Drosophila melanogaster: one gene and its partner. The protein of the gene in region 2 purifies or fractionates together with the protein of the main gene of each other region. This does not show direct contact. Each region holds a gene or a part of one and is shown on either strand. Other genes may lie near its edges.

Region 1 (4,478 bases), on a different chromosome or scaffold from region 2:
TTCATGTACAAAGGCCAAGCACGTATGTGCCTATATATTTATATAGCTTTAATATAACCGTCGATTGCCCGAGCACTCGAAATACTTATATAGATGGCTGCCATGCGAACCGGGCGCAGTTCCTTGGCACTTTTTTTTCGGCTGCGAACGCGTTGAAAATCGACGAGAAACTAAATTTAAATTATTTCTGAAAGCTTCAACTACCTACCAGTCGTGCGAGAAAAGTGTTTTCCTCAAGAGAACCGATATTTTGGCGCAGAGAATCGATGAGAGCGATTCGAAAATTATTCAAAAATATTCAAGTCCAAGCCAATTGAAAGTTTCAGCCATAAATCTTTACGGGTATCCATATAATATTACTTTTACACTTCAGGTTCCATATTTATCAAAATTACAAAAATGTATTTGATAGAATTAAAGAAAAAAAACACTGTAACTAATAATAATAATAATTACTTCAATAATATCTATTCAAAAAATTGGTTTTCCTAATTTTCCATATTGATTAATAACCAAATTAAACTTAAACAATACAATAATGAAATTATTTAAAATTTTTTAAACCCCAATATTTTGCCTTTGGAATCTTAAGCTTCTAAAATTATAGTTATTACTGCTGTTTTTTTTTCTCATGGCAGATTCTGTTCAACTTGGTTCATTGTGTAATAAGTTGACTTTTTGAAAATTAACATGACTATATCATAAATCTTCTGCTCGATAACCATTGATAACCATTGTGGCAAATGTTAATTTTAGTGGCTATACTTTATTCATATTTAAACTCCACACAAGTATGTGTGTATATCAAGTTCTGATCAGCCTTACTCGATAAGCAATGAGTCATATCCAATGAATTATTTAACCGCTTCTCTGTTTGGCTGGGATTTAGAATGGCCAAATTTAAAAAGCCTTCTAACAAAAATATTCAAATTCATGGGAGGGGCGCATAATAGATGGGATTCTACTCGTAACATCTTTTGGGAAATAACTTAAGAATTAGTTAGCTTACGGAGTAGCAATCTAAAGCAAAGTTACATCTTATTTAAATACACTACTGAAATACATTTGTATGTTAAATTAAATATGCTCATTCCTTTGGTTATTCCCCGATTTGTATTGGAATTTATTTAGCAAACCATAAAATCGACAGGGTACATTGTACATTACATTTGTGTGGGTGTGAGTGTGTTTACCTCGTTTTAAATAATAAACTTCATTGTTCTCAATGCGTATGGACAATATGTTGAAATTCGTATTATGTATAAATTACTTAGAGATTATCAATCGCTAAGAGCTAATGCAGGTTATGTGGGCCCTCTTCGTGCGCGGCCTGTTTTGTGAGTGGGTGAGTAAATACGATTCAAATGAAGACCAAACGAATCAACAACGTTGCACAGCAGCACCTATCATGTTGCGGGCGCTACTGTCGCCTGATCCTCGACAGATTCGTTAGACGTCGTCGCTGGCGGCGGTGCACTGGTTGTGTTGACTGCAGGTCCGTTATTGTTATCATTCGCCAGCGGCTCTTCCCCCGGCGGCGCCGTCTCCAATGTCACACTTGGTGCTTGTGTTTCACTTTGACTATGCACTGGTGCAGTGTTAAATGAGTTCGTGGTGCCGGCGACTTTAGCCGGTTGCTCCGGACTGCTGTACATCTGGATAACCGAGTTGTTGTTCATGTTTTCCACCGAGGCGCCCGATATGGACAGATCGTCGGCGGAGTCGTCCGCCGTACTGTCCGTTTGCACAGCCTTCTCCTCCAGCAGGTGGTCGCTCTCACGAATCGGTCGCTGCGAGGAGCCGTACTGCTTGGAGATTTGCAGCAGCTCGCGCAGCGTTTCGTTCTCCAGACGCAGCTGGGATATGGTCTGCAGCTCTCGCTGCACGACACCGTCATCTACACTTGCAGCTAGCTGCATCACTGCTGCCATTTCGTTGATCTTCTCGCGCTGCTCCCGGATCACCTGCCACATGCGTTCGTTGTACAGCTCCTTAAAGCTAAACTTGCTATCCAGGACCTTGGAGACGGTGTGCTCGCGATACTTTTGCATCATCAGCTCCATGGCACGCTCGTAGTCCTCAATGAAGATCTTTAGCTCGCGATTCTCTTTGAGTATCTCCGAGCTGTTGATGTTTTGCTGCTGAATGCGATTCACCATGTCCGCGTTGGTCTTGTTGTTCGAAATGCGGTTGAGTGATTCAATGTCGTCCTGATACTGGCGAAGGCTCTCCACCAGCCGATTGTTGTTCTCCGCCTCCTCGAGCAGCGCCGTGCCCAGGGCGTCCAGGTCCTTCACCCGACTGGCCATGCGCTGCGCATCCATTATAATCTGGCCCACGGATAGGTTCGACATCCTGCCCAATTCAGTCCAGTTGCGATTTTTGGATTTGTATTGTTTTCGGGGGCCAGGCCCTCTGCTGCTGGCACTGCGAAAACAAAGGGAACCGCTTAAATTTGTGCACTTTCTGGGGCCTACGAGCAGTGTCTTACGTTCGGTGCGGGTAAGGTGCAGCTTCGTCCCTAGCGTAACAGCTTCATTTGATTTTCCGGCCAAAATATGTAGGAATAGAAACGATTTTAATAGAAATTTTGACGACGACCCAATTATTGGCTGACAGCTTATTAAATCCCAAACGCCATCGGATGTTGCACAAATCCCTAACGCCACTCATTGAATGCGAAAAAATACTGTTTCAACACTTGATATACCGCAAATATACCAAAGATTTAAATTATAATTTTGTTTTTTAACTTTTAGCTTGAGATGTCATTTTTTTGGCTAAATCCTTTATGTTTATGTTAAAAAACTCTTTTAAGGTTAAAAGGTGAAGCTACAAGCTTTATTGTCATTTTTGTATAGGTCATTAAGAAGCTATCAGTACAGATTTTGATCTTATCGCGAAAAATGGAAGACTTAGCGTAGAATGGACATAATGCTATGTTCTTAAACGATCATGCATACATAAATCTAGTTATGTCTATTTAAGTACCTATTTAAGTACAAACAGCAAAGGTTTTGTCATTCAAAGTGGTAGATAAAACAGAGGTAGAGGAATAGCATGGTACATCGGGCGTAGGGATGCACAGACTAAAGATCACGAGATTGCGATTACACGCCAACGCTGTTGAGGCTGCCGGAGGAGAGGTTCTCGGAGCGACTGGACAGACGGGGGCGTTTCATGAGTACACGACCCGGCTTGCCGGGATTTTCGATGGAACCCGCCTCTGCGGATTGATTTAGATTGTTGTTGTTGCCGTTGTTGGAGCCATTGCTGCCGCCAGCACGTTCCAGCGTGCGTTGTGAGCGACGCAGCGAGGAGGAGGACATCCTGCGCAGCGTGGGATCGTAGTCATAGCTCGACGGCCGCTGATAATAGGGCGCATCCTGGTCTGTGTCATTCTTCTCCTCCAGCGCCTGCTGCTGCTGCTGGGCGAGTGGATTCAAGGTTATGTGGATGTGTCGTGTTCGCTGGCGCTGCTTGGTGGGCGAGCAGTTGCCCAGCGGCACAAAGTCATCTCTCAGCTCCGCCATCCGTGGCTTGTTTGGATTGTTTCCCCGGCTTCTGGAATTCCTACGCCGGCAAACACAGAAACAGGTGCTAATCAGAAGCAGAATGAGCACTGCCCCGCCGCCGATTGTTCCCGTCAGCATGGGACTCATATTGAATGTCTCGTTATGACTGGGAGTTGTTGTATCGCGGTCGCCCATTTGCAGTGTTGGCTCCTCTGTGGTGCTGGTTTTGGGACGTTGGGTGCGCCCCTGCTTAAGGGCACTAAATTCGGATGCAGAGGCGGCACTGAAGGACTGCAACTTGAACTCGTACATGGTGGCCGTCTCGAGGGGTGCTATTTTAAAGCTTCTAGCATGGGCTCCTTCAATGGTTGCCTTGAAATATTCCCCTGCCGAGGACGAGGGTCGATAGTAGGCGTAGTAGCCAGTGATCAGGTGTTCATCCGCATCGCTGGCTAGACTCCAGTGCAGCACCACAGCGGTTTCAGAGTATTCCTCGATCTCCAGAAGCTCTGGCACCGGCATCGGATCAAGTGCTGCACCTGGCTGCAGGTAAAATTTCGCCGAGGTATTACTTTCCTTATTGTCATTGTTGGAGTAAACGGCTAGGATGCGGAAACGATAGGTGTGCTGAGGCTTCAGGTCCGTCACCGAAGCCGTGAAGCTCTTGCCCAGCTCGGAGTTCCACTTCGGTTTTCCATACGGTATATTATCGTTGGTTGTCTGCCAGTTCTTGCGCTTGCCAACCATGCGGTACTGAACCTTAAAAATGACAATTGGTAACCCATCGTTTCGGGGCACCATCCAGCGCAACATTACGGATTCATCGCTAAGTCGGGTTACATTTGGAGGAGTCGGTGGATACATCTGCTTCTGCCTGGAACCCTGATTGGGCTTGGGCCTGTGTGTACCCCCCGATTCCCGGGGTTCCTGAATCTGCTTGGGATTCACCTGCAGCAGTGTACC
Region 2 (6,343 bases):
CTTGGACGTACTCGTTCCAGAGGCTAGCTACATGGTAATTTCGAATGGAGGTCTGTCTATTTCAGCAGTCAATTCATTCTGAGAGTGGCTTTGAAAAGTCGTATTCCGTGATAATATTGCTATCATACACAGTTTTCATTTTAAACTAATGGCTTTCGAAAGCTTCATATATCTTCAAATATGTGTTCGTCATTCAAACGATTGAGCCAAATGCACAATGAGTTGAAGTTTTTGATAAAAAATAAATCGTTTAATTCTACTTAAAACTGGAAACTAGTTTAAGCTAGTTTAAAAAAATGCATAACATTGATACATTTTACTATGGTTGCGATAATATCTGCCTAGTTCTGAAGCAATAGAAATGTCCTACTTTACAGATCCTTAGATTTCTTATTTTTTATATGCATGGCAGAAAAGTTCACATATGATTCACATAATTTATTGTAGTGTACTTCGGTTTCGAAACACCAAGGTCAAGTTGGCACTTCCACAAATGATAAAAGAACCGAAGTGCAGGAGAATCCAAGATAGTCTTGATTTCCTGTTTTCTTTCAAGTGAAGCTGCTGCAGGTGCGAAAAAGTGGGGAAGATGTGATGGGGCTGCTGGGCAAACAAGTTATCGCCGCGTTTGTGCACCGTTTTACGAGGGAAAGCTTTTGTCTTTGGACACGATTAGTGGAGAAGCGGCAATTTGGGTGAAATCTTATCAATCAGCGGCGGGCATTGAAGCGTTCGCGGACGGAGACGAGAGCATCGGCAATTTAATTGCGGAAATAAAGGGGCAGGCAGGCACATTCCACACTGCTGACGGGACAAAGTTTGTTCGATGGATGATTAAGCCGCGTTTTCAGGTGGAGCAGGTGGGGCGGTGTTGGGCTGTATCTGGTTTTGGATAGTAACCAGTCACGCTACATGGAGCAATTCGAATCTCACGCCAAATGCGGCTCAGGATGGGCACACAGTGGGGGCGGGGCTGCAGCTTATATGCACCTGAATCTGGGAGAATCCTTCAGGCACTCCTCGAACTCGATGGTGGCGCGCATTTTGGCCACCACGCAAGCAGCACCTAGACTGCACTGCTGGCTATTTCGCTACGCTAATTGAGGCCCGTGAATCTTTGTTGGCCTGTTGCTGCTGCTCTGCTTTGCTTTGCTTTCCTTGCTGAAGTGGGGATTTCGATGCGCGATTTTCGAGGGCGGCTCTGGGAGAAGCTAATTGCGGGCAGCAGGAGATATGGTGATTAGTCGCATCCTTGGCAATCGACGGCTACACACGTTGAGCACTGGCCCTAATTAGCGAAACTCGCCAATTTACGCGATTCGGGGCCGAATTTACCAAATTTACACAGCGCGCAGAGACAACAAATTAAAACGTCTCACTTTCTACTAGAGCAGATCGGTGTGCCCGCACTCGCAGCGAAAACAAATCTAGCAGCGCGAATGGTCACACACTTTGGCGGGCTTATTTGCTTTTGCTCATATCTTTTAAAATTTTAAATGTATTGAATGCTTAGTGTTTTCCTTGTGCTGATTTTCGTTTTAAAACTCGATTAGTTACGAAGATTTCAATTCAAAGGCATAAAACAACGCACATTGACATTGTCAGCACGGTTTATCAGTGTTGGAAACTTTTGTAGCTAAGAAGAAGCTAATTAGGAACTTAAATTCCCTAAAAGAAGATACAGCCCAAAAAAGATTTGGGTTCTAGCCATAATCAATGTAGATGTATTTAAAGTACAAACGATGACAATTTTAAACACCAAAACAAGCAAATCCGTTTCAAGCTACCGCCAGCCAAGTCAAATCTAGCTACAAAACAGATCAGCTGACAGCACCGCTGGATTTTAGGGTGCCCGCCTTGTGCGACAAGAATCCGCGGCCAGTGCTGCACAAGTGCCATTTTTCATTTCATTGTTCTGTTCTCTTTCTGCTGGTGCTGTTTTGGTTTAAGTGCAATTATCCACACAAGTACGCACCGAAAACCGATGCACCTGCACCGTGCACCAAGTGTGGGAGTGCCCAGTGCCAGTTTCATTTATAAAACTATGAGTTTCGCACGGCAACCAGCGCAGCTGACCGACTGACCGATCAGAGTCTCACGTCCCCCCTCGCCTCATGTGTTTACCCCTTGTCCAGCGTTCTATTTGCGTTTCGTGTCCGCTTTAAATCGCCTCATTTGCATACAACTCGACGGCTTTACGTCACAACTCTTTAAAATCGGCGAAGTAGAGGAGGAGGAGTGAAACACGCCCATTCCCGGAGGAAGCATTAGACCGACCTGTTTGGAATCCAGAATGTGGAAGTGCCACAAGTGCGGCAAACCCGTTTACTTCGGTAATGCACCCACACACGAGCGCATTGCGATCCGTAAATAACTTGTAAATTATATTTATTTATGCCCCGCACAGCGGAACGTAAACAATCGATCGGCTACGATTGGCATCCGGAATGTTTGCGCTGCGAGGAATGCGGCAAACGCTTAAATCCCGGCCAGCATGCTGAGGTAGGAGGATCACCTGTTAGTTAGCCGATCATGTGATCTATATAAAGCCTTTTGTTTTCCTTTCAGCACAAAAGTGTGCCCTACTGCCATGTGCCCTGCTATGGCGCCCTGTTTGGACCCCAGTTGTTTGGCCACGGCACCCGGGTGGAATCGCACAAAAGCTATGGGGTGAAGGGAGCCCAGAAGCCAACCGGAGCTCAGGCCAATGGCCCGCCACTCCCACGTGATCACCTGGAGTCCAAACTTAAGGTGCAGAACGCAATACCCAGACATATCAATATCTCATGACTCACCAAATTCCCTTTTAATGGGCAGGTCTACAACCAATTCTACGACAACAAAAGCCTGGAGATACGTAGTCGTGAGGTCAACAACCGGTTGGTGCTGGAAGGCGCGCTTAGAGTTTACTGGGGCGTGCAGGGAGTGATTCATCTCAAGGAGGACGATGATCAGCGCATCTTAGTGCGCAAAAGGAACTCTTGCCGTGTGTCCAAGGCTGCCAATGTAAGCTGAATCTATAACATAACAAAACGTTATTTATACAATTGTACCCACAGGAAAGCAGTTCGGATAAGGAAAACGAAGCTAGCGAATCGCTGGCTCCGCCCACCACCACCACAGCCGAGGTCGATCAACTATCCACGGATGTTTCCCTTTCCGAGAGCATGACCTTCGACTCCTGTAGCCTGAACGAGATCTCCGAGTTGCCCACAACCCCAGAAGATGCCTCGGCCAACACCACAGCCAACAGCAAAGAGCAGACCAATGGTAATGTGTGCAACGACGACGAGGATACGACCACGACGGACTCATCTGGAACCCTGGTGGAGGCTCCTACTGCCAGCACAAGTTGTGTGTCCAGCACATTGCCTTCGAAGTTGGACCGTCTGGAAAAACTGGATTGGGACGACATAGACGATCTGCTGCAGGTAGAGAGACGTCACAACGACAAGGATCGCATTTATGAAACTATGCCTGTCAAACTGCCGTCGTCGCAATCCTCCAGCGACAGTTCGCCCAGCAAAACATCCACAGAGACCACTACGACCACTGAATCAAGCTCGACTCAATCGGCATCAACAAACACCAGCAGCACGGATGATTTTATGACCGCCACGGGATCGTTGACTGCCAACACCAATACGCAGAATACAACAACGGTGTCTACTACTGAGACCTCTCTGGATAACTTCGAGACTTGCGATGACGCTACCCTGAAGCCTATTGATTTCGAGGACTTTAAGCGTAGTGTCCACCAGGACTATGTAAATGGGGCCAACTCCTTTACGGAGCCCAATGAGGGCACCCTTAAGCGTAATCAACCAATTGATCCCTCTCGCATTCACGACTCCCTTAAGCTCTACGGCGAGAATTCAGCGATGAGCAAAAGCTTTAATTGTGAGCATGCATTGCGGTCAATAGATCCCACTTTAATCAACGACACCATGAATCTGCGCAGTAGTGTGGGCTCTCCTCACTCCGCACAGCGTCAGTACGCCTTACAAAAGAGTGGATCGGCCACAGTAACCAGCAGGGATCAAAAGAAGCCATATCAACAGGGGCGGCAGTTGTTCGAAAAGGGCATCAACCGCTCCAAATCGGGACCCAGCTGTTTTGTGTACTCCGACAGCGATGACGACGACGAGGCCACGCTGCGTCCCCAACGTATGGCCACCATTCGACGCAGCGACATACCTCAGCGGTACATACAAATCCAGATGGACTGTTATCCCAAAGAGAATGTGGCTGCTGCTAGCGAAGGTGAGTCAAGTCGGGCAGATGCTCCATCCATAACCAGTGGTGCAGCGGCCGGCGATGAGCTTACGCAAACCGAGGATTTGTACACTGCAAGCGAGGGCGTTGATGGTCCAGACGGAGATGGATCGGCTGGGTTGCATGTGACGGAAGATGGAGTTGTGCTGAGAAGACCTCCACGCACAGGAGCTTCTGCCATCAAGCGACGAAGTGGCAATCGTCGGTAAGTTACTGAAACTTTTAATGAAGAAATTGTGTTGTAATTCCAACTTCTTAATCAATAGTTCTCGTACCAAGCTGAAACGTCGGTGCTCTATCAATGGTCACTACTACAATCGGGAGACGTCGTTTTTCACGCCGCCCTACGGTTCTCAAATGTCAGTGTGGGTCTCCTCGATGGTGACCACCACTGAGGTTATCAACTTGGTGCTGGAGAAATACAAGGTGGACAGTTCGCCTGGCAATTTTTCACTCTTCATTGTTCGCGACAATGGTGAACAGAAACGTCTCAAGGACGACGAATATCCTTTGATAACGCGCGTCACTTTGGGACCTCATGAGGATGTGGCTCGTATATTTTTAGTGGATTCTCGCAAAACTGATGAAATCAGGCAAGTTATAACACTCCTTTTCAATAGAAGTTTGCTTACGTTTCTTTTGCATCGCTGCAGTAATGAAGTTGCTCAATTTTTGAATTTATCTTTGCCCGAGTGCCGTGCTATTCTGGAGCGCTACGACCAGGAACTGGCCCGCGAAGTGGCCAAAATAAAGGAAAGGTGGGTTTTAAAAAATAATTTTACATCCCAAGACTTTGCATTGAAAGAGAATTACTTTTCCGCAGATACGCCGAATTGCGACGTCGTATTGTCAGTCGCATGGAATCTCTGAAAGTGCATTTGTAAAACGTAAATGAAACCTCTGGCATAAGAGCAATTTTTTATTAGCCATAACATGAATGCGGCCAAAAAAGAAGTGTCGGCAGCAGCACAGCTAATAGTATTCACGTTTTTATACGAGATATATATTTTTATGTAGAATCTAGAGAAAATTACGAACTAGCAAACATTAGGCGCCCAGTGAACAAAAAGCAGCTGCTGCTCGTCGCAAAATACATATACATACATTACGTTTAGGGTTCGATTCTTCCCAGCCGAAACTAACAATCAATTCCAGGCATTTCCATTCGTTTAGAAAGCGTTTAAGACTTGTAACTAACCAAAAAATAATTATTAATCCACAACATTACCATACAGTTTTTTGTTTTATGTTAATAATCAATGTATGTGCTTTATGCAGTCACGTTAAAAGCGTTGTCATTCATGTATCTATTGTACAATGTTTAGCTTTTAAGCCGTGACATGAAGCACAGGTCCTGCTAGTAGCGTGTAGTTGAAAGCCATTTTATCGAGTCATTGAACAAATGTGTGAAAATCAATTTGATTAGAAATCGCAATGCCTGCGAAACAATAAGAATAACTGTGCACATACTTCATATTGCATAACATGGACTTGTTGATTGAAAATCATTTGGAAATCCAATAAAATGAAAATTTTACAACAGAATCGCCGCCTCTTTCGGTGACCAGCCAAGCGGAGTTTAAGGCCCCATGGTCGCCAACAAATTCCGGCAAGTAACGCGTCCCTAGTGCAAAGGGGCGAACCTAAAGGCGGCAGCAGTAGCAGAAAGTGTGAGCCGAATATTCAAAAAAGGCAGCAACCGGCGCCAGCCGTCCGTGCCCAAATGGGGATCAAGTGGAGGTGGACCTCTAGCCCCCCCCCCACACACACACACACACATACACACACTAGGGTGGGGGCAAACCGATGCCCTGTCCTGGCCAAAGCAGCCATCAAAGCACAAGTCAATGATGCCATTATAATAGAGAAACGACGGAGGAGCAGCGCGGAAATAGCGACGAGGACGAAAGTAGGCAAGCACTGGCTCACTCACATAATAAATGCACACCCCACAGCGGCACAGAGTGAGTGTGTGTGCGTGGCTATTAATTTGAAACTGACAGAGCCTACGGGTCTCCATTCCGGCTACAACGTGGTTGGGACTCCGCAACAACTACAGGACCGTGCC

What was found. The genes of interacting proteins can lie anywhere in the genome.
Region 1: the proteins of Rassf (region 2) and Fgop2 purify together in Drosophila melanogaster (affinity purification with western blotting; one study listed by BioGRID). This does not show direct contact.

The regions. Positions count from the first base shown.
Region 1 is NT_033779.5:6,942,643-6,947,120, forward strand, and holds Fgop2 (fibroblast growth factor receptor 1 oncogene partner 2), read right to left. Parts: upstream 2,648-4,478; 5' UTR 2,492-2,647; intron 2,428-2,491; 5' UTR 2,355-2,427; coding exon 1,407-2,354; 3' UTR 536-1,406; downstream 1-535. Other genes in the region: ihog (interference hedgehog), read right to left, coding at 3,111-4,478.
Region 2 is NT_033777.3:23,113,489-23,119,831, reverse strand, and holds Rassf (Ras association family member), read left to right. Parts: upstream 1-1,900; 5' UTR 1,901-2,293; coding exon 2,294-2,333; intron 2,334-2,407; coding exon 2,408-2,502; intron 2,503-2,568; coding exon 2,569-2,751; intron 2,752-2,817; coding exon 2,818-3,006; intron 3,007-3,059; coding exon 3,060-4,480; intron 4,481-4,541; coding exon 4,542-4,868; intron 4,869-4,928; coding exon 4,929-5,033; intron 5,034-5,098; coding exon 5,099-5,159; 3' UTR 5,160-5,818; downstream 5,819-6,343. Other genes in the region: CenB1A (centaurin beta 1A), read right to left, coding at 991-1,043.